Schizosaccharomyces pombe: one gene and its partners. The gene in region 4 interacts genetically with the main gene of each other region. Each region holds a gene or a part of one and is shown on either strand. Other genes may lie near its edges.

Evidence for each region.
Region 1: mutations in ftp105 (region 4) and sgf29 together harm fitness more than expected from each alone (negative genetic interaction), as found in Schizosaccharomyces pombe (2 studies listed by BioGRID).
Region 2: mutations in ftp105 (region 4) and bun107 together harm fitness more than expected from each alone (negative genetic interaction), as found in Schizosaccharomyces pombe (2 studies listed by BioGRID).
Region 3: mutations in ftp105 (region 4) and lsk1 together harm fitness more than expected from each alone (negative genetic interaction), as found in Schizosaccharomyces pombe (2 studies listed by BioGRID).

Annotation. Positions count from the first base shown.
Region 1 is NC_003423.3:2,417,870-2,422,182, forward strand, and holds sgf29 (SAGA complex subunit Sgf29), read right to left. Parts: upstream 2,177-4,313; 5' UTR 2,113-2,176; coding exon 1,664-2,112; exon of another isoform or gene 1,563-1,663; coding exon 1,277-1,562; 3' UTR 869-1,276; downstream 1-868. Other genes in the region: pvg3 (galactosylxylosylprotein 3-beta-galactosyltransferase Pvg1), read right to left, coding at 1-433; BAR adaptor protein Hob1, read right to left, coding at 2,921-2,989, 3,058-4,313. UniProt on the Schizosaccharomyces pombe protein: Chromatin reader component of the transcription coactivator SAGA complex. SAGA acts as a general cofactor required for essentially all RNA polymerase II transcription.
Region 2 is NC_003424.3:412,666-419,004, forward strand, and holds bun107 (WD repeat-containing protein), read left to right. Parts: upstream 1-2,325; 5' UTR 2,326-2,740; coding exon 2,741-3,020; intron 3,021-3,097; coding exon 3,098-5,706; 3' UTR 5,707-5,809; downstream 5,810-6,339. Other genes in the region: rod1 (arrestin/PY protein 1), read left to right, coding at 1-1,209; SNARE protein Sft1, read right to left, coding at 1,806-1,964, 2,019-2,135; Ctf18 RFC-like complex subunit Dcc1, read right to left, coding at 5,810-6,055, 6,094-6,339. UniProt on the Schizosaccharomyces pombe protein: Required for the ubp9 recruitment to septa and cell tips but also for its enzymatic activity at these specific locations.
Region 3 is NC_003424.3:3,951,904-3,957,842, reverse strand, and holds lsk1 (P-TEFb-associated cyclin-dependent protein kinase Lsk1), read right to left. Parts: upstream 4,048-5,939; 5' UTR 3,373-4,047; coding exon 2,425-3,372; intron 2,379-2,424; coding exon 2,288-2,378; intron 2,273-2,287; exon of another isoform or gene 2,222-2,272; coding exon 1,543-2,221; exon of another isoform or gene 1,492-1,542; coding exon 1,428-1,491; 3' UTR 974-1,427; downstream 1-973. Other genes in the region: SPOM_SPAC2F3.16 (ubiquitin-protein ligase E3), read right to left, coding at 1-331, 401-700. UniProt on the Schizosaccharomyces pombe protein: Catalytic subunit of the CTDK-I complex, which hyperphosphorylates the C-terminal heptapeptide repeat domain (CTD) of the largest RNA polymerase II subunit. Involved in RNA polymerase II transcriptional elongation and pre-mRNA 3'-end processing.
Region 4 is NC_003424.3:1,784,420-1,791,547, reverse strand, and holds ftp105 (Ubp5 interacting protein Ftp10), read right to left. Parts: upstream 5,179-7,128; 5' UTR 5,111-5,178; coding exon 5,091-5,110; exon of another isoform or gene 5,049-5,090; coding exon 5,006-5,048; exon of another isoform or gene 4,944-5,005; coding exon 4,911-4,943; exon of another isoform or gene 4,843-4,910; coding exon 4,196-4,842; intron 4,098-4,195; coding exon 3,890-4,097; intron 3,834-3,889; coding exon 3,456-3,833; intron 3,357-3,455; coding exon 3,102-3,356; exon of another isoform or gene 3,050-3,101; coding exon 1,856-3,049; 3' UTR 1,193-1,855; downstream 1-1,192. Other genes in the region: mrpl1 (mitochondrial 54S ribosomal protein uL1m), read left to right, coding at 1-66; protein saf5, read right to left, coding at 270-923; gus1 (glutamate-tRNA ligase), read left to right, coding at 6,463-7,128. UniProt on the Schizosaccharomyces pombe protein: Required for the localization of ubp5 to the Golgi apparatus. Involved in detoxification of cadmium ion.

The DNA of each region.
Region 1 (4,313 bases), on a different chromosome or scaffold from region 4:
ATACAATGGACTTTCCAGCATCCACATTCTCCGGAATAGGTAGTACTGCTAAGTCACCATACGTTCGCTGCTCTTCGCGAATGGTAGCTAATTCCTGCTCATTCTCAGGTAAACCAAGGATAAATCTAACATCCACAGTATCATTTACGGCAAACTCCTTAATATATTCATTATAGTCGGTACGTAAAAAGTTACGCCTATCCACGTTCTTAGCTTGACTAAAAATCCCCAAATACAGTTTGAAAGGTCTGTCGTTCGCATGGGCAAGCGATTCATTTTGCTTAATGAAGGGATCTAAAAACAAATTCTCTACGTAGGCGAGTGAATGTTCTTCGGCCTGTAGACGATTTAGTACAAGAAAAGCAAAGGAAAAAGTAGCAACACCGGCAATTAGCACGTAAAGAAAAATTTTTTTTTTAGAATTTGAAAACATAGTGAAAGAGTTTAATTAAACGAGCACGTTGCGCCAGGAGGTCAATTAGAGAGACGTGAATATTAATTGTCCCTTTGAATAAAAGAATAAAATAAAACCAAACTTAAAGATCGTTGAGAATTAAACAAAAGACTCCTTGAATATATGAGCCAGCAAACAGAATATAACTCTGAAAGGAGTATAATGTTTGGTTCTGAAAACAAAGCTGTGCTTGGTGCCATATTCACGTCCACCATAAATACGCAGTCATAATGTAACCAGAAGAGCAGCTACTCAAACCCTTAATGCCCTCATAGCGTTGGTAACTATAAATGCGTTAACTATATATACCGGGTTGCTACATTTCTTTATCTCAGAGTCCATTAACCAAAGGATTCATACATATACAATTTTTCTATTTTGTTTATTTTTATGAATAATTTAATAGGAGATACTCGTTAAATGAACTTAGTTTTAGTATTCAGTTTCCTCTATAGGTGTTTGAAATTTTTTCTAGACTGTCATGTTACTACTATTTTTTAAAATTAGATTCCTTGCAAAATGTCAAGGAAGCAAGCAGATTTGGCGTACATTAGCAATGTTAGATGTGCAACACGATAGAAGCAAGTACTTTGAATGAGCCCTTGTCTTGGCTTAAGTTATTAACATGCGTTAACGCCATTAATATATAAAATATAAGGAACAACTCAACATCACAATGAATAAAAAAAATGTTAAATCTGAGTTATGCATATTACAGATAATGTCATCAATTTTTTTAAATGCTGTGAACCTAATATCGAAGTGAATAAAAATAACCTTTAACTAATACCTCCTAAAAAATCTGAGTAAAACGTTCCAGTTTTAACCATTGTACTCTAACACCAAATGACGCTCTACCACTGTTTCTTTCCCAACTTCCTCTTCTCCTTCAAATCGAAGTTTACATGATCCATCAGGCAGAGTGCGAATGACTTCTGCCCGATAAAACGTAGTAGTTTCAGGATATCGAGCTAAAACATTTGTTTTTGGGCTTATTGGGGGTAAAGGAGTTCCTTTTGCAGGAATTTGTATAAGATGATTAGCTGTAGTTTTATAAATTTGACCTGCATTACCGTCATCATCCGGTTCTGGATCCTGCACTTCAAATCTATGGTTTTGTTAATATACTGGTAAAAAAATATTATCAACATATAAGCTTAGAAGTAAATTTGAACTCGCGACTGACAATATTTGCTTTTGAAAACTCACCTCTGTTTTGCTCCTTCTCCAGTCACTTTAATAATGATACATTGAATCCAATCACCTCCCTCGTTATGCCTCGTGTATGGTAACTTGAAAGCTACAGACATGCCAGGTGTAAAGGTTACTGTATTTGCTGTAAAGCTTGTTCCTCGGTTTCGACGACTTCTCGTCAAAGGACTATTTGTAATTACAGGTTTTTCATTGGCTTTTTCGAGTACATTAATAATCATCTCAAGAGATTGCATTGTATGCTCCAATTCTTTTTTCTGTTCTTCAGAGGTTTGAATTCCCGCGTCACACGCTTTAATTCTTTCTTCAATTGGATTATCGTCGCCATCAACCGTTTTATAACATTCTTCTTGTTTTATTAAACTAGACCGAATGGGATTTAGGCTTTCATGAAATTTAACCCACATGGATGTCACATCCTCTTCAGCATTTATGGGGCGTACCATAATATCCTGTAACTGATATTCTCAAACAACACTTTTCATCATCCAATTTCCTTTGGTAGGTGCTAACTCACTTACTAGATTGATTTGCATGATACTATCAGCTATGCAAATTACTTTATTACAAATTTCATTAACACTCGATATTGTATTTACCGTATCGTTGCTGCATTAGGTTACGTAGTTAACTATTCACTTAAGTCATGGAATACTGTCTGTTAACGAAGTTCGTTAAACGATTCTCGTTTAGCAACGACTCTAAATACTGTATGTCGTATATTTCCTGCTAGAATACATCAATTCCGATTGTTATACTGTTGAAACTACAAATCCCAAAAAATTCAATATCACAATGAAAGCTCTAGTTCGAATCATGTTTTGCTTCAATCCTAGCTAGCACTGTTAAAGTATAGATATAAGAAAGGACAGCTTTGTTGATAGACTAGTTAAATTAAAATAAAAACAGTTAAACGTAATTAATATATATAAGTTTACGTTATTCAAAACATTTCAAAAAATGTGCTACTCTTTGAAGTACACGTCAGTAAGGAAACACGTTGATAAAAAGCCAGTATTCAAACATAGACAGTGTTAAATTATCACTGGAGATGATGATGTATGGAATACATGTCTAAATTTAAGCATCATAGTTAGAACGACAAAATTGATAGAAATTGAATAGCAGTGTAAAACTTGTTGAAGCGCGCACACAAACAGTAACCTGTAACAACAAGTCCTATAATCAAGCTTCTATATTGACTTCAGTAGGCAGCGAGATTTTAAGACACATCTAGGTAAATTTAAAAACGCTTTATTCAAGCTGAACATAATTACCAGGAAATTGACCTTGTGCACCGTTAAGTCGGCCAATCCACCATTCCTAAAATATATATTAGTAAAGTCCTTGTTTAATAAGAAAAAAATGAAAATTTAAGTTTAAGTACTTACATTTTGATTATCAGTACGTGAAACAACTTCGATACGATCGCCAGCATGAAAAGATAAATCTCCGGCTGCTTGGGCAGCATAATCATATAAAGCAACAACATGCTCTGCGGCGGGAGCCGCAGCAGGTGCAGGCGCTGGTGGAGGTACGGGAACTGCGGCTGCAGCTGCTGCTACCGGTGCAGCAACAGGTGTGGTCACTGCCGCAGCAGCAGGTTGAGGCATAACTGGAGGGGGAGGAAAGGCCGCTTGAGGGTATTGAGCAGCTGCTGCTTCAGTTGTAGTAGTGGTCGTCTGAACAGTTTGATAACCTGCACTTGGGGTAGAATAATCGGAAGCTCCGGCAACCGATGGCGTTGAGTATGGGGGTGGAATATCCGTAGCTGTCGAAGAGGAGGGTTCGGCTGCTGCTTCTTCACGCTTTGACGAAAAGGAAGAAGAAGAAGAAGCAGTTGCATCTTTACCACCCGGTCCCATACCCGGTCGTTTATACGTCGGTTTAGCGGTCTTAAATTTAGTAATCGTCAAAGCCTCTGCGCGATCTTTAACATCGCCGCGTCTTCTTTCGTACGATTCCAAAATATCGGTATTGAAATCAAAGTACTGAATTTCGCAGTGACTCATCTTTTCATAAAGAACGTAATAGACATTTAATTGCATATAGTAAAATCCTTGGAATAAGGGAGCAATGAAGCTCTGAGCCAATGCAAATAGTTTAGGTAACTCCTCCTTCAGCATTTCATTATAATATTCATATTCTTGGGAAGATTGTTCAAAGGCGGTTTCAGCTTCATAAAGCTTCTTCTCATCTTTAAGGCTTTTATCCTTCTTTTCCTGAAGTTTCTTGAAAGATGAACGATGACGATCATAATCCAGCTGCTTATGATCGCGTTTCAACAAAAGCTTATCTACATCCTTAACAATCTTGAGCAGTTCACCAGTTGGATTGACAATGCGAGTGTTGATAACATCCATTTCAGAAGCCAAATTCTTTTGGAGATCGTATACAATTTCCTTGTAAGCCTCGGCAGCCTCAATACCTTCCGCATTGCCTTCTTGCTCATACGATTCAGGATCCGAAGCACGCCCACTAATAGGCTTGTAAATTTCAATACAAGCATCGGCAAATCCAATTTGATGATTCAATAACCCATTAATAGCATCAGTATACTTTTTGGCGTCTTCAGCCAGCTTTTTCGCTTCCGTTTCTAAAGACTTAAACCGTCTTCCAGCATCCTCATAAATAGGATCTTTGGTAA
Region 2 (6,339 bases), 1.4 Mb from region 4:
TATGCAATTGGGTCATATATTCCCATTCATTTTGTATTAGTTCCGTTGCTGAAGAGGCTAACTATTGGAAAAATCAGTATAACCTTGAAAGAATACATCACGTTGCATGTCGCTCATGGATATAACGGTTTACCGGCATCGAAAGATGAAGTCAGGACCGTTCGTTCTCTTCAAACCGAAGAATTGGAGGAGTTTTCCGATCACTATGAACTTACAAAGAACTTGGAACTACCAAGTTCTCTTGTGGAATGTCTTCAGGATTGTGATTTGGATGGAATTAAAATACGTCACAAATTAAAGTTTTCCGTTTCCCTAAGAAATCCTGATGGCCATATATCAGAATTAAGAGCTGCATTACCTGTAGTCTTGATGATACCTCCTCAATTATTTGGCGATCGTGCCGAAGTAGAGTCGTTACGCGAGAATTTTGAAAGTTTTAATCAGCCTTTACCTAGCTATCAAAACAGCATGTATGATCGTCTTTACGATGGTTTGAGCTATTCCAACCTTGATACACCTCTCCCTAGTGGCGCAACTACACCAAGGCGACGCGATTCTATGGAGCCCACCTATGCTTCTAATGAAGCTCATAGGCGACAACTCATTGCTGGTTTGACAGAGTTGGCTCTACAACAACAACCGCAAGGAAGGAGCCCCAACGAACATTCACCGTCAAATCATCCTGAAGATTTCCCGCCTTCTTTCAGTTTAGGCTCTAATCCATCCAGTGGAGCTGCCTCTGCTGTAATTACTAGAAACCCTTCAGAAACTAGTTTGGCAGATCTGAGCAGAGTCCCTTCTTATAAGGAAGCAACAAGATCAGCCGTTCCATTAGAATCACCCTTACAATCAACATTACCTAGTTATGAAGATGTTGCACGAATTGAGCACCTTTCACGTCCTCCATCACCTGGTATCGTTACTCCACCACAACGTACATCTCCTTCATTTTTTGTTTCTCCAACTGAAAGTACACGACAATCCTTGGATAGTCGTAGGTCATTCGAACACTCCACATCTTCTTCTTCGGGTATAAGCCCATCTCACAGTAGTGCTTCTTTAGCTCATCTTTCTCAAGCCTCCAATCCAAATGGATCGTCTTCTGCCCCGCATAGGCCCACATCAGCTCGTGTAGGAAGTCACCGAAACGCACTAGACGCTTTAAGACGGGCGCGTATGCTTCCATCTGGATTTTCAAGAAGAAATTGAAGTTTTGAGCACTATTTTTAAATTTTTGCGCAAACATCGGAAAAAGAGTATTCATTACCTGTACTTCCGTACATTTGAATGCTGTGTTCTTAAAAAAGCCTAAATCAATACAAACATCTCATGGTCTGCATGCACAAAGCTTGAACGTGAAGCTAAGGTGTTAAAATTTTTATTATTATTTATTTTTGTGCCCTTCCTTTTGATCTTTTTTTTTTTTTTTTTGCCGGTTGAAGGTGAATGAATACTTAGTTTGTGGCACAATGTCATGATTCTATTCAATTAGTACTGCGTCTCTTTGCTTAAAACTCTTTCCTAAAAGTGAGGAATATCAAGCTTAATATGGATATACAGTCATAATTAAATTTTTTATTATTTTTACTTTTATGGTGGACTTATTGAAATTTCGAGGAAGGAGTAGTATTTCGTTAAGAATATTTCATGTAATTCTGCGCTTATATTTTCAAATTTATCTTCAGAATATTCATCGATAAATTTATTGCCTATAAGAATTCAAAGCTTGTACATTTTATAATTTTGAAGCAGGAGGTTATGTCATTATATCCGTTCCTTTATGTAGCATTCGCTTTCATGTCGTGTTAAAAAAACCATTTGGATGCATAGTAGATTATTAGTATACTCCCTACGATTGCCAGCACCATTGTCATGATTCTTCGTCGTCCGGCACTTCGAACCACACGGAAGAAATTTTCGGTGGATTTTTTAACAGAATTTGAAAGTCCTGAAAAGCTTTCAGTCTATAATAATACAGGTTAGGTAAAAACTCAAATTTTTTTTTTTAAATTACATACAGCCCGATCAATTCGAGTATAGTCATTGGCACGGGAATAAATATCGTAGGTTACGTTTTTCAAAGAAGAAACCTGCCCAGACAGAGTTTCCAAACGCCGCTCATTTTGATCATTCATTATAGAAATAACTTTTACAAAAATGAATGTACATACGTTAGCATCTTTCTATATCACTTGGAGTACTACCAAAATTTAACGACATTTAGGACGTGGTGATAAATCCTTTAACGAATCTCCTAACTTGATTCTATTTTCGTCGAGCTCAAACATAATGTTATCTACAATTCTTAGCATCAGCCGCCTAATTATTGCTTTATCAAATGCCAATATCGATCGGACTACTTATTAGTAGGTAAATGGTTTGGAAGTTCATCGTTTCCATCCATTTTTAATGAGCAGTAGGATCCGTTCTTTAACATCTGAGTTATTTGAGGAATTGCTATTCATCGCTAAGTCAAAACATATAATATATTTGTATAGGTACTCGCTACCAAAATATTTGGATCCATTACTGTTTCCTGTTTCCAAGTAAAAGGGTTTATTTATCCGCTGCGTTTTAGACTCAGGACACACTATCTTTCTGCAATACTTTTGAACCTGAATTCATTCAATAAATTGAATTCGACATCATATAATATAAATTTTTATTTTTTACGTTTGAATTGGATTTTTTGTTTATAATTGCATTGTTTTAAGAGATTAATAATTCATTTATTGTTCTCATGAGTGTTCGGAAACGGTACAAGGTTACTTATGTTCTTGATTCCTGTAACGATCAACTAGGGCACCGTTTGGATGCTAATTGTCTAGTGCTAGGTCGGTACTTTTCAGAACAAGGGTCAGCACCAGTTACTAGAGCACTTTACAGTGGTGGCCGAGATGGACAGCTTTTCGGTTGGGACATCGGGTATGATTATGGTAAAGCTTCCCAGCCCTTAGCCAAAATCCAGGCTCATTCTGCTTGGGTAAATGATATAGCTTTAACACATGATTCCGAAGGAGGTAAGCCTTTGAAAAATTTAATTATCTCTGGAGAATAGCGGTAGCCTTATAGAAATTGACGTTCTAACATTTATTAGTGATATCTTGTTCTTCTGATTCAACGGTGAAACTCTGGAAGCCACATGTCTTGAATGCTTCTTGTTTATCAACAATTGGCGAGCATACCGACTACGTAAAGCGCGTAAGCATTCCCAAATATTCCAAGAGTCCGTTAGTCGCTTCGGGTGGGTTGGATAAAAGGATAATTGTATGGGACTACAACGTAGGTCAAGAAGTTATGCGATTTGAACAGTTACCTGACTGTTCTCTTGTTGTTGGTCCAAGATCTGGTGTTTACTCGCTGGCAGCGAATAACAACATAATTGCTAACGGCGGACTACAAAAAGACATTCAGTTATGGGATTGTGTTTCCAAGAAAAGGATTACAGATTTAGTCGGTCATACTGACAATGTTCGAGATATTCTAATTAGTGATGATGGCAGAACAATTCTCACAGCCTCTTCAGACGCTACAATAAAGCTTTGGTCTCTAAGGGCGCAAAAATGTTTATTCTCTTTCATAGCTCATTCAGACAGTGTATGGGCATTATATTCTGAGCACCCAGATTTAAAAGTATTTTATGCTGGTGATCGCTCAGGCTTGATTACTCGTACTGATATAAGAAACCAGCCTAACAACCAAAGCTGTACTGCAATATGCAAGCAGGATGCTCCTGTCTCTGACATTGTTGCTCGTCAATCTTTCATATGGAGTACTAGTCGTGATGGCTCCATTCTTCGTTGGAAGGATGAGCCCCTCTTTAATCAGGACGTGGGAGCAGCATTATCTAAGCATACCTCATCTCATCTTTCTGTATCATCGGACTGTCCCTCGAGACATTCTTCTGACATACGAAATCATAGCTGTCCAACATTATATCACGACGATGCTGAGGATATATATTATGATTTGCATCATACTGAGAGCTATTCTAACATCAATTTAACCAAAACCCCTGATTATGTTATTCATGGTGGTATTGGTTTGTTAAAATATCGAATGTTGGGTGATCGAAGGCATGTCTTAACTGAAGACGCTGTCGGCAATAAATGTTTGTGGGATATACTTGCTTGTAAGCAAGCCGGGGAATTTGATAAGTCAGAAGATTTTGAAAAGATTGTTCAAAGTTTGGATACTGTTCAAGCAATACCTAGGTGGGCTTCTGTTAATTGCCTTTTGGGGATTCTTGCTGTTACTCTTGATGAAAATCACTACATGGATGCCGAAATTTATGCTGATGAATGTCCTCTTCTGAAGGTTGATTCCCCTTCTGATAAAAGAATAAACTTAGGGGTGTGGATTTTAAAAAATTTATTTCGTGAATTTATTGATGCCGAGCTTCATCGTGATTTAAAATTTAGACAAAATTTAGATGTTGTAAGGTCTGAAGCTAAGAAGCAGATAGAAGCCCAGAGAGAAGAAGCAAGAAAGGGAAATGTGAATATGCCATCAGCTTTGTCTCCATTGAGGATTCGATCTCGTCCATCACCTTTATCTCTTCCTCCAGAACCTTTACTTTCTCCTACTATAGATTATTCCGCTACCCCATTCCCCCTCGAGCCTCCCCCCGAAAGTCCTGGTCCGTCTCTTCAAATTCCATCAAACAACCCCGTTTACACAAATTTAACAGATACAGATTCTATGATGGGTGCGCCAGATTACTTTTCGATCCCCGCCAGGCAAAATCGTAACAGAAAGCCACATACTGAGGTAGTTGGATCCCCTACTGTTGTGAGAACGAAAGAGATAATTCCCCCCAAAGTAACTCGTGAAGGTTCATTTATGGGCAGACTTAAAAAACTTGGAAGATCAAAGTCATCCAAATCATTACAAACCGATTTTATGAAAGCTTCTGTAGAGAGAGCTGCGTCAAGCCGCGTTTTCAGTACCGGGACTTCGGTAACTTCTCCGCAAGCATTGTCTAAAACTAATAATACTGTTAATAATGCTGCAAATACAGAAAATAACACACTAGCTAAAGATAAGCAACAAACTTCAGAGGCATCATCACCTGGTACCCCGCGAGAGCTGAAAACGACTGGTGAGTTGATTGAAGATCTTCATGAACAATATGTACATTTTAAGGATAAAGACACCGTTCTTAGTTTAATGAAACCACCAAACGATGATACGTTTCCCATGTTAAATCTTTCGAGTCAGATTACTGTTATCATCAGCGAAGAATCTCCTGAAGCCGGTAATTCTCGTGACATATATCGTTCTACTCTTGAGAACATGGCTGACGATATTGACTTACTTGAAAATATTATGCCCTTTTGGCTTGGAAGATTACTGTTATTAAACGAATTTCCTTCTAAAACTGCCCCTACTGTTAATTTTACTCTTCAGCCTTTTCCTGGAAGTGGTTTACCGCTTATTGTAAATGAAAACACTCGTTTAAGTGCTAGTGCTATGCTTCGTGCTCAGAAAATTATGGATTATAGCTATAGCAAGCTTAGCCAACAAAGAAAGGATGTATCATCCCTTCAATTTAGATGCAAAGATGTCGTCGTTACCCCCAAAATGACATTGGCAACTGTTAAGGCTCGAATTTGGCGATCTGGAGACGACGTTGTCTTTCATTATGATGTTGCTCCTAGATCTGTTTCAGAAATTGTTGATAAAACCCAGAGTCTTAATATTTAAAACTTAAGTTTGATTAAAATTTTAATTGATTTCATAATCCTGTCGAAAATAATGTACAATAAAATCAAGTTTTCAACCTGTATAGTACCGGCCAAATAAGGTTTTACCATGTCCCTCTAGAATTAATGTAAACACCGTCCCTACTGGTTTGTTTTCGCCCATATTTCAATATAAGAGCTTCAACTCTTGATTTCGACAAGGCAAGATCTTTAACGAAACTCCAAAGTTCTTCATATAACCATTTCGACTTAAGTTGAAACAAAGATTGAAACCGCCTACTTGGTTCTCTCGGTAACTGATCTCCTGATAAATACTGAATCGTATTTGGGGTATCGTGAAAATAATAACCCTAAAGAGTTTTAGCATTAGCTGACTAAAATGCCCTACCTTTAATAAATTCAAAGAAGGAAGTCCTTTACAAGGATACGGAAGACGATTATCCCATAACTGAATGAACTCATCGGAGCTTATACTGTTGATGCCTTCTAACAAAAATCGCCCATACCAAAAAGTCGTCAACTCTAAATCGATATTGAATTTTTTAGGTAAGACATTGTCCTTAATGGGTGAAGAGATACTTTCAAGAACACAAATTACTGAATCCCAATCAAATTCGTCATCCATAGCTGGCTT
Region 3 (5,939 bases), 2.2 Mb from region 4:
TATTGCAGTAATATCGGCCCATACAGTTCTTACAGTATTTGCAATATTGAGCTGCTGGTTGAACCTTGGAACATATCATGCAAAGCATGTTTTCTACGGCAGGTCGTTCTAAAACATGATCACAAGCATCGTTGTGACAGTGACGGCACGTATACCACTCGTGACAATCGAAACACTGAACCTTGCAATTGCGCATGTAATGAGAACACCCTAAAATTTCTTGCTCTTTGTCATAATAAGTCTTTTCAAGATCAGATGAGCTCAATTGGTTCTCATCAGATTCTTTCTTGTGAGTTCGTCGATATTTTAAATAACCAGACATCAGCATTTTCTACAAAGCCAGTTTAGTAATCTTATTTTCATTTAAATCTCACTTTTATGATTAATTTCATGTACTTACCTGCATAAGTAAGGCCTTTCTCTTCTCACTCAATTGCGACATCGATTGTATTTCGTGGATTTTTTCACGTACGGAATCTTGCTGCGTTAAATCCACTCCTTTCAATATTTCTTCATCTTCTTCATCTTCTTTTTGCTTTTGAACTTCAAGGAATTTCTTATTACAAGAGTCATCAGTCCCAACATCCTCTTCAGTAATATCTTTCAACAGGTCAGGAGGTAGTTCGAATATTGAGGTTAATTCTTGTGCAGCTTCCTCAAAAATCTCAGCGAATTCACGAAGATACTCCGACAATGACATCGACTTTTTTTGTGTTTGTTTTTTTTGTTATAATGATGGTTCTTGATCAAAAGGAGAAGGGGAATGCTTACCTATTCCTCGATCAGTTCAGTGTTGACTTATAGTGTGGTCCAGTGCAATGCGGAATGTGATATCCGTGCCATCACACTATTGTAAAAGCCGTAGATATACTTTGATCAATTTTAAGCTACGCATTCAAATAGTAACTTAATTTTTGCTCTCTTAATTGTTAAATCATCATTACTAAATATTTGAGCAGGCTCTTGAGAACATCTGCACCTTAACATTATTAAAAAGTATATGTAAACAAATTATTATTACTACGGTTGACTGATTAAAAGAAAACCACATCATAAATTCATACGAGTCCTTTGAATTTATCTTTTTTGTACACAGTACCAAGCTCATTTCAAGACTTCAAGCCTTTGATTTCTAAGTTCTTAAAAGGTGAAAGAGTTATAATAGTCAAATAAACCAGTGGAACATTTAATTATCATGAGCTATTAGTGTTCTTATTTCATCTTTTTCGGAAGAAAAAGAGAGCAAAAAATGAAAAAAAGTTGTCCAGCATCAGACAAATTTGTTACTCTGCCTAGTGTTAACAAAATATATAGAAGATAGACCGCAGTAAAGCGAGACAAAGAAATTAAATGAAATATAAAGATTATTTTTTTTAAACATTTGTCCAGCTTGCATAGCTTCGCCTTGACAAAATTTTCTGGCTCATTTATCTTTTAGATTTTCGTTTTTTACTTTCCCATTCATGCCAACTTCCTTGCATGTTTTTCAAACTAAACACATAAGTTAGATAAATATCATTCAACGATAAATTTTATACTTACATGACTGCTGGCTCTGGAGGTGGGCTCTCAGAAGTGAAATACTCATGCATCAAGGTCTCATGAGCTGACGGTCTACAAAAGGGATTTAGGGCAAGGAGTTTTTGGCATAGGTCAATGGCGGCAGGACTTAAAATCTCCTTAAAAGTTTCAACAAAACGCGACTTCTTTTCCTCTACTGGCTTCAGAAGCTCATACCAAGGAAGATTTTTCACCTCAGGCCAAGAATGAACATCAGGGGTACCCATCATATCATAGATAACCTCTAACTGACTGATTTCGTCTCGCCCTTGAAAAAAAGGTTTTCCTGTAAACAACTCCATAACAATACAGCCAGCACTCCATATGTCCACGGCTGTGTCATATGCAGTTTCTCCAAGTAATAGCTCTGGAGGTCGAAACCAAAGGGTAATAACGCGATTAGTGTAGTTAGCCGACTTCGAAGATGTATTAAATCTCGCCAGACCAAAATCTGCGAATTTTAGATCACCATTGTTATTCAGTAATATATTAGAACCTTTAATGTCACGATGAAGCACCCCACGATGATGAAGATAAGCTAATGCTTCAAAAATTTGCTTCGAAAGGTGTTTTATGTTACCGGGAGTAAAATGTAATTGTGAATTTAGTAAGACTCCAGTTAAATCGTGATCCATGTACTCAAATACCATATATACAGAACCTAGAATTTTAAAATGTTAGAACTAGTTATAATTAAACGGTGAATGAGGACAGTATTTAATCGTACTTTTTTCCACCATAATTTCTAATAGCCGAACAATATTTTTGTGACGCAAACGCTGCAAGATTTTGACTTCACGGACAGTAGTTATAGGGAACTAGAAAGTTAGTCAATTTAGTTACGAGCTTGATTTTTATACTTACACCATCCTTTTCCTGCTCCAGCCTTATCCGTTTTAAAGCTACCAAATCTCCTGTGACTGTGTTAATGGCTTTGTATACTTTACCATAAGTTCCTTCTCCAATTTGGTCGATTTTCTCATAGGCAGGCTTTGGATATGTATATGTATAAATTGGGCCGGAAGGAGGAGAAGGAAGAGGAGCTGGAACAGACTCACGGGCCGTGGACGTGAGTGCCATACGTTTCGAAGGAGGTTGATCGAATCGAGATCGGCGTTCATTAGGTATATGAAAGTGAAATTTTCCATGTTTGTTCTCTGGAAAGCCAGAAGACACGCTAGATTTTTTTTGTGTATCGGAGGAAGTAGTTTCATGAGGGATAGAAGGAATAGGGGGAGGAGAAGATGAAGGTCTCCGCGATACCTTTCGACCGTTAAAAGCTGAAGGCTTCATATGTACAGAACTAGGCGGAGACCTTCGAAAAGAAGAAGCTTGCCTTTTTGAATCATTTCTGTTTGCGGACGGTGATATAGGTGAGACGGAGGCGCTAGAAGAGCTTTCAGAGCGTTTGGCAAAGTAATCCTTGGTAGTTAAATTACGTGCTCGTTTTTGACTACCTGAGCGGTAAAAGGAAGGTGATGGAGGTGAGCCAGGTCTAGGACTGAATGCCTTTTTACCCTTTCTCCTTCTAGATTTTCGAGAACGAAAAGGTCTTTCATGCTGTCTTGCTCGGGAAGAATGTGTATCGTTGAGAGGAAATGTTCTTTTCCGCTGTTCTCGAGGATCCTTCGCAGATGAGGATGGCGATATACTAGATGAATTATTTTTGAAAGCATTAGAGGACAGGGTGTGGCCTCCTAAAGACTCCTCATTTGTACCAGAAAGCTGAGACTTTTCTTCGACGGTACGCCGAAAGTGGCTATTTGGTTCTGTGCCTTGTCGGCGATAAATTGTACTCTTCGAGTATGACATTTAACAGGGTTAAAAAAAATAAAAAATAAAAAAAGGAATATTCCTAAACAATGAAGAGAATTACACGCAATCTGTGAGCGAAAATTCGATGGGAATAAAAGAAAAGAAATTAATCGTTAAAGTACGGCCAAATGTGTTTTTATGTAACAATAAATACAACTTCACCGGAAAAAAATCGTACAAGGGAAATAAAAGGTAAGCTGCCAAGACAAGCTAGTTAAATCCAGTGAAATAAATCATGCAATCTAATAAATGAAGAAAGGACAATTTTCAGAGTGGAGATTTTTTTCACCGCTAAACTATGAAGGGTGAACGTGAGACAAACCTTTTCAATCAATAGAGAAATCTAACCAGAGATTTGTGAATAAGTCGGTTGCAGAAATGTTATTGAAACGTAAATGTACAAAATATGAGTATCCACAAAATTAGGAAATACTTTTAAGTATCAACTCTTGCAGCTTAAAAAAATATACCGTAATTTTCTTTTAGTTGCACTCCTGATTTCTTTGATCTATCAATTCAAAATGTACATTGTTAAAAACACCAATTATCTCGAAATTTAATAAAGACAGAAATAAATTAGTTCTTCCTCTTCTATGACAATGAATGAAGTAGTTTGCAAGTCCACTAGTTTAATCAAGGGGCGATAGGTAAACTTCGTTGTTGGTGTGTAGTAGAAATAGAAATAAACGCGCGCGACTCAATTCCTTTACCACACCATACTTAAAATAATAAGTAATTTGAGGCTATGATGAATATCAGCTTGTTTTATAGAAATCAAAGTAAATAATGTATTTATTCAATGCTTAACTCTTAGCCATTTTCTCTTCCCCATTTGCTAAGATGGTCTTTTAACTATTAACTAAGTCCAACCAGTTATTCTCAATTCATATAATATTATTGGATTAAACCTTTTCATCTGAATTATATTAAGTTCATATTTAACATTTTAAAAAGCGATGAAGATAAATCTGGTAATCCGCATGGATCCTTGGAAATTGCCATTGGCGATAGTAAACCAAAGGAATCAAATGTCGACTAGATAAAGGCAAGTCTGAGCTTTTCTATTAGTTTTGAATCGTTTAAAATAATATTATTTATGAGAAATTAATATTCTACCATAAATTAGTGTTTTCCGTGAGTCTAAAGAATACAAAGTAAAATAATCAATAATATGCAACCCTTACATGTAAGGTAGGAGGGAATATATTATTTTACTGTATATAGAAGTTTTACATCCTTTCATAAGTATAACGTTATCACATTGGACGTTCTAGTAGAACGCCAGTCTTCAAAACATTAAAAATTCATATTCAGCCTCTCAAAATCTATTGTGTGCAAATTGTTTGCAAAGCTAAATTAATCAATAATATTTTTTTAAAAATTAAACAAAAATGCTTGGTTTTAGAAAGAACAAGGTTAGGTCAAGAGCTTCAAGATGAATAACTCATGGAATTCTGTTCCTGTTGTTTATTCAATTTTAAGAGTGATGATTTTGACATAAATTTGGTGCAATATTGTTTAAATAATAGTCTCATTAGTTAAACTAAATGTTTAAAAAAAAAAAAAATCATTGCAAAAAGCTAAATGAGCATAATTGATTTTTTATAAGTTTTTTTTTTCAAAAATGCAAACAAATAAATTAAATTTGTTTAATGAAATTAAAAAATAAAAAGGTAGATGATCGTACAAACGGCTACTACCAGTACGATATAATTTTTTATAAAAATTCCAAAACGTAAGCATAATTAATATGAAATAATAAAATATCATAGAAATTCAAGTGTACAAGGATCCTACGACCAAATGTTTGCTTTCATATGTATATATTCAATTCTAAATATTTATATAGCTTACTCAATTTGTGCAATTTTAACAAAGAAACGTGATTTTATTACAATAAATAGGTCATTAAAAAAATAAAAATTTGCACTTATATTCAATTGACTGACATACAAAACGTATTATCAGAGTTAGACTTAAATAAAATTTTCCTTATTCAACGGACATCCTATACTGGTTTCTGTGGATTTATGATATATTTGCATATGGTAAATTCAGCGAGAGAGTCCCTTGCACTCAATTATATTCACCAATAATACTTAATGAATCTTAATCGAAAAGACATGGACGTTGTGCTTTCAAATGCGAAAACCATATCTTCTTATTCAACATTTAATATGGGGTAAAAGTAGAGTACTTCTAATATCTTAAAGCAAAGCAAAAAAAATAAGCTCTTTTATTATGTTATATTTTCGTTAATAAAAATCGCTTCTTCAAACATTTATTCATCACAGGTGCGATATAAGAATCTGAGTTTGTACTCTATAGCAGCTCTTTTAGCTTTCAGTATTTAATTTATTCAAATGCTATATGCATAATTCCTTCATAGTTTGGCTATGTCTTATCGTTTCGTTTAGTATATTTACAATTCCATTTTATATGTGTTAAAGTAATTATCGAAGAAAGAAGACTATGTAGGGAGAAAGTTTATAAACTGTTAATAAATCGAATTGGTGTCAACTATTATTTAGTCTAACATCGGTAATCCACAGCAATAGCTTCAA
Region 4 (7,128 bases):
GTTACCGTAAAGCATGTTCATCTTTCCGCCTCACATGCTATTGCAATTCCTCTCCAGTATAAATAATGATTAAAATGTTATTGCATGGGAAATTTAGTCTACAGTCTTGTCATTTGTAATATGTATTACATGATTAATTTTGTACAAATTAGTGAAATGTGTAATGATATTTTATCTAGTAAATTTAGAAGCCTGTTTATATTTATTTATTATCATAAACTACTTTTTAAAAAGTATGAATGAAACGTTAGAATACAACATTATGAAAGTTACTCTGTGCGATGCCATTTCAGAACAGGCGATTCCGGAGAATCAAATCTGTTATCACAAGCTGAGGTATCTACGTTTTCAGCCGTAACCCACTGGTGATTTGGATCAAAAAATAAGGACATAGGGTTTCCCATACTCGCGTTTTCAACATCATTATCTGAGGAAAAAGTGTCCGGATGTAGAGATTGGCAAGTACAAAGAGCCTGGTAACATGAATCAACATCAGTAACATATAATGTTAGTTCTAAAAAATCATCTGTGAATTCATTTTCATCTTCGGTAGAAGGAGCTTCATGCAATGTTCCTGACGACCGTTCAAATTTAAGAATGTGATCTAGCAAGGGTCGAATGGCTTCACCCTCTAATTGAACATATACATATGGCTTATCCTTGCTTTGTTTCGCATGAAGAGTAATGGTTTCATATGGAATTTTCCAGCCAGAATTCTGTTCTTCATCAAAAAGGATAAAGCTCTGTGAAGTTACTAATAAAGTTATCAATTTGCCCAAAGGAAAACTTTCCTCATCACTTCTAATTTTATAGGGGACTGTTTTTTCTTCAAAATAAACGATTTCTTGATTTGGCAACAACTTTTCACCATTTTCAACTTTGCGAATTAGGTCCTTTGGAAGTGAGTCAATTTTGGTAATCATAATTACTTCTTGCTTCCAATAGGTATTTAAGCATAAAAATTATTAAAAAACAGTAATAAGGCCACCTCTACCTGATAATTTATTGAAAGAAAAGGTTTACTGTGCGTTGTATTCTTTTGAAGTACTCAAATACAATATCTTCGCATATTAAGCATTTCGCAAAATCGAAAATATATTTCTACTCTTAACCACACGAATTTTTTATAAATTGAACCATTATGCCAAACAGGATATCGATTTTACTCAAATACTTTTGATATGCAATTTTCGTAAATGACAAGCTAGTTATTCATTGCAATTACAAAACAAACTCATGAATATAAATAGTTTTGTGGAAAAAATAAAGGAAAGGTCTAAGGTCTTTATGAAGTAATCCTCGTTACCCAAAAAATTGGGACTCAAAACTTTTGAAATTGGATTTTTTATTTTATATAGTAAACAGATTTATAAGTGTAGCGAAATAAAGCTAAGAATTTTTTAGCAACCAATTCATTGCTATATAAGGTTATACATTGATTTGGATACATGTAATGAATTAGCATCAGTGGATCGTTTCTCTCATAAAGGTGGGTCTTTCTAAAGTATACGAGATTGACTTTCAAACACCAACTTTCCAAATCAAACTTCGAAAGACTTTTTTAAAGCTAGTGACAAGGTTGGAGCAGAAGATTCTCCAAGCCAGTTTTTAGTTAATTAATAGAATGAAAACAAATCGAAAAGTTCAAAAATCAAAATTAGCAAGGCAAGATTCTGGTCATCAGTATATAATTAAATGATGGCAGTATGTGGATGCAAATCCTCCAAGATAATTTTTTAGTGAACAATTTAATCAATAAATTTTCAAAGTAAGATACCATAACATGCATGCAGGGTTTTCTTCAAATATTTTTTAGGACAAAAGTATACTTTAATTTACGCATTGAATTTAAGAATCACTTGTTGCGTAAACTGGAATCGTGGTTGACACTACTTGGCAGCTGTAAATACAGCAAATCGAGTTTGTCAAGTATAGATTTTGTGGCATTCTCCATTGAGTTAGAACTGTTTTCAGGAGATGCAACTTTCATGATATTTCCATGTTGTTTGTACACTTTAGAGGTTGTAAATAAAGAGGGAGTAGCCATTAAACCTTTTTCATCAAATGACAAAGTATAAAGCCAAACAAGACTTTGAAACCAATTATTCATAGGGACACTCCAAATAAAGTAGCGAAAATTGGGAACTCGAGGATGTACATCATTTAGCACAGAGTTAGCTAATAGTTTAACAGCTTCGTCAGTAGTTGATAATTCTTCATTCATTTTCTTGTATACAGGTAGAGAAAACTGAGATATAATGGCTAGAATAGAATCCAATTCAAGTCTTGAATGCCAAGAATTAAACCACGAGTTGGAAGGTGCAAACAAATTTGAGTCAATTTCTAAATCTTTTCCAAACGGATTGGATGCACATTTTTTAATAAGTTCTGAACTAGAAACATTTTCCGGTATTTTCCCACGCAACTTTCTAGACAGAACCAATGGAGAATCTGAGAATACATCTTGAAGGACTGTCGGGACAGAAATCGAAACATTTCTACTCGAAATATGTGATAAGCCACCGCGTGAACTACTGCTACTAAAAGGGGAGGAAAATTTATCTAATTCATCGAAAGGTGAATCATCTTCAACGGTAGCAACTTTTTTAAAGTCAGTATTTTGGAGTGGTGTTCCATCTAAGGAGGTGTTATCGGATGATTTAGATTCAAAATCACTACTTCCTTCCGAATTGAGGGCCACTAAAGGCTGTGATTTAGTCTGAGCAACGGCAGGAAGTTTCATAGAATTAAGATTCAAAAAAACTTGCTGGAGGCGAATAATAGAATAACTGAGATTAGGGTTTTGAGAAAACTTGTTTTCAACTATACTAGAAATAGCCTGTAACAGGTATTCAAGAAGCAGATGATTGCGCGGATTACGAAAAAGAAACCGAGGAGATGAAAGAGATGAACAGAGTTGCATTAATTTGGCACACGTAACGAAACTTAGGTTTTCAACAAATGGTGCAATATTGCATATGGTCAACAATATAACAGGAGATAAACTGCTAAACGGAGATCTCTTCACTGCTGAAATATGAAAGCTAGACTGGAAGGCGTAAGTAATAAAATTAAAATAAACAATTAATCGTGAATCTTACGATAATCAAAAACTCTGCATAAGACATTGGTGGGACTGAGAACCCAAGGGAAGACATCAATGATTGTGCATTCATACAGTTTCTATTTAGTTTTTCACAAAGAACCTTCTCGCATGATAAATAATGAACGATAAAAAGGCAAATGCGAACAAGGCCGGAATGTTCATTGTCTTCACGATATCTAAGTGCATAAAACTGAATAGAAGTTAAAAACTCCGTAGCATAAGGAGAAGTGATCAAAAATGCTCGGAAACGCTGTTTTAAATTAGTTAGCAAATATAATGAACGCGTAACAACATAAATTAAACAACTGTACAAATAATGTAATATATATAAAAGGACCGTTGAACATACTTTATTATATAAAATTGCTTGCCAAAGAAACAAAATAATTTCCGGAAACGCGATATTAGGCTTTTGTACAATTGAAATATAGGCAGAGATAGCGGAAACTGGTGCATTCAATAGCCGATATAGTTCGTTAACTAAAAATTCATAATCAGCTTGTAATTGAAGTCGAGAAAAATATAATCTATACTGATTTTCGATAGCAGCGCCAGGAGAAAGATTGAGTCTCTGTCTGAAGTATTCGACTGTTGTTTCATGAGGGGTGTGATCTAAAAAAAGCAAAAGGATTTGAGAAGTAAGTTTTGAGAGTGCAATGCTAGAATCATTATAAGGTACTAGAGTTGAATACGAAGCCTTCCAGCTATCAGGTCTAAGTCGCAAAGTCTAAAAACTAAGTTAGTTGTACAACAAAAAAAGGTAAATTTTAAGCCAAAACTTACAGTATTTATAAGGGAATAAAGAAAAACTAGTATAAGCTGCTTATTTGCTACACAGGTCAAATAAGTAAGGGTGTGAGAAGCTACTTCAGAAGATCGATACAGCCTTTTAGAAATCAATACTAACAGCAAACGAAGAACCTCAATGCGATTAAACGCAAGTTCCTTTGTGGTTTTCTCTTGGGTTTCTGTTGTACCAATTCCATTTTCCCTGCAAAAGTGATTAGTTAACACATTGCATTTAACCAAATATAAAAAAGCAAACGAAAAACAAAAAAAAAATATATATATATATACATATATACTTACCATATAATGTATGCATATTGCTCAGGACTTGAAAGAGGAAGCGTAAAGCCTCTGCAAAAAAGCAAACGAAAGACGGTGTCCAGCAATTCCTCCATTAAAGTTTTTTCATGAGTAAAAGTTTCTTCAATAGAGCCAATTTCTTTGATTGTGCTAGAACCACCTACTGATACGTCAGCGGCAGAGACGTCTGAAGAAGCATCAAGGGAGATGGAAGAAGCAGGAAAGGTGCTCACAGGAGATAATGGGACTGAAGGAGACTTCTGCGAGAATTCGTTCTTTTGGGAGATGGAATTTTCAAAATCTAGATCGTCTTGAAAATTACTAAGGTCTAATTCGGAATTTTCCTTTGGTAAATTTCTCTTCTTTCTAAGGCTCCACCAAAACTTTTGATGCCATTCTTCTAAATCGAGTTTCTCATTCAAAAAAGGAATGATTCTAGTAAGTAGGCGAATGCAGTTTAACGCTTCACTCGCTGGTGCCGTTTCAGGATTTGGAAACTTTTTGTCATTTTTCAACGCAAACAAACGAGATGTCAATACAAGCAGCAATTTTTCAAGGTTTACAAAGGCATGATCCCTCATCTCACGAATGAGACCTGGGGGAAAAAAATCGTAAACTTCTGGACAACTTTCAGGTACACTCCAAAGCTAATAAACATAAAAACGAATACATTAGTAAAAGCGTCTTACACAAGTTAATAAAAAAAATTTCATACAGAAACCCAAACTTCATCATCCAACGGTATATCCTACTAGAATTAGCTTGCAATGTTCTCTTAGCGTATCATCCACCCATAAACACAAACCGTACCGGTTGAGAAGCTAATCTTGCAATTCCTCGCTGAAATGCCAATCTAAACAGTTAGCTCATACGAAAATTTCGCAATGTTACTTACTTTGACTCTTGGCCTCCCATATTCTCTAATTAGATGCGAAAACCGTAAAGTGCTCTTGACAAACGCTGCAGCTTCATCGATAATCGTTAGGTACTAGTAGACCCGTCCATGTGTATACTTTATTCGCGCGCTAAGTTTCCAAAAGATGCATTATTTCATATTGCGAAATTTTATTATTGCTCGAGTTAATTTGTTAGCTCTACCGTACATTTAATGATCGTTAGCATTACGACGAATTTTCACATTTACAGTCAATGCACTATGACTCACTATTTGGTAAACACTTTTTAGCAAACTGCAATTTGTTAGGAGGCAGGGTAAGGAAAACAATTGATTACCATCACGAAATGAGAATTAAGGAAGAAATACAGCTTGTCAAAGAGACTTCAGCTACCTGCTGAACTGCATTTAAATGTTTGTGAGTTTTTGGTTTCTACTCGTTATCTCATAATTACCGTGCCATCAGATAAACCTCAAAGGTTTCTCAGTTATAAAAAAAACAAGGAAACTGTATAGCTGTAAACAATTCATCTACTGTATAACTCACGCGGCAAAACCACATGAGACATCTGTCGAAGCAAACAATGATATATTTACATGTTCAGTAGATGAATCGCTAGACTATGCCGTGATATGTTAGAGTTCCTTATATTATATACAATGAAGTACATTATAAATGGCTGTATTCAAATTTTAGCTATTTCTGTAAAATAAACAAAGCAGCTATCTATTTTGAAGTGAGATTTTTTTCCAATTTATAATAATTTCAATTATAAAAGGTGCTCTTTTTCTACTCTCAATGTACTTGAAATGTCATATATGTATTTGATATCGTCAAAATTGTCAATAGCAAGATAACTAAATAAATGAGATGATAAAGATCTTATTAATTAACTTGGTAGATGATTTTTCCTACTTTTTCCTTTAATCCTATAGCTGATTAACAGGTAATTATTAACAAAAAAATGACTTTTCTTCCATTCTTCTGATTGTTTCAACTCCACTCTGTTATTATGTATCTATTCTCTTTTCTTATCGGTATACCGATTTACGTTAGAAAATGGTAAACAGTATAACGAGAAACCCTCGGTTTCGGTTCATATCTGTATAAAATTAGCAGATTAGCGAAAAATGCTGGAAAGAAAATTAATCAAGGTCAGACATGAACTTGAATTCCTTATCTATAATCTAATTTGTACTTAAATAGAATCCTTTTTTTTCGGTCAACTTCGTACTGCGTTCGAATTTTTCTGGTTTGGATTTTTAGTGTTTTGCAAACATACCTTTACCATACACTAATACCCTAAAAATCACTTCGACACCAACTTACCACGAACCAAGTTCGACAATTTTCACCACCGGTTTTGGGAAAATGTCAGTTAGTGTTGCATTAAAAGCAAAGCCCATTGCTTATGGTGCAGTTGCATGTGCAAATTATGTGAATCTGTCTGGTGCAGGAAGCATTTCCGTCAAGTATGAGGACGTTGCTTTATTAGACAAACAAAACAAGGAATCGAACGTCTCCATTCAGCTTAACGGCTCTGATTCTCCTGTATTCGGTTCCAAGTTGGCTTTACAGACTTTCTCTCAAGTCTATCCTAAACTTTTCATTGGCGAAAACGATCGTTCTTTGGTTGAGAGTTGGGTGGAAACTGCCTCTGCCTTAGCTGGTAACCACAACTTTCTTGAGCTTTCTTCACTTCTTGCTCAGTTAGACGACCATTTAATTATGCGCTCTCTTTTTGTGGGTTATTCCCTCACCTCTGCTGATTTTTCTATTTGGGGTGCCTTAAAATCAAACAACATGGCAGCTGGTGCCGTACGCACTGGCCAGTATTTCAACCTTGCTCGTTGGTACAAGTTTATGGATTCTCAAAATGCCGTGAGTGTCACCATGGAAGAATTCACCAAGGCAGTTAATATTAGCAAAAAACAAAAATCTTCTGGTCCTAACTACGAGATCGGTCTTCCTGATGCCATTGATGGTAAGGTGGTCACCAGATTTCCTCCCGAACCTAGTGGATATTTGCACATTGGA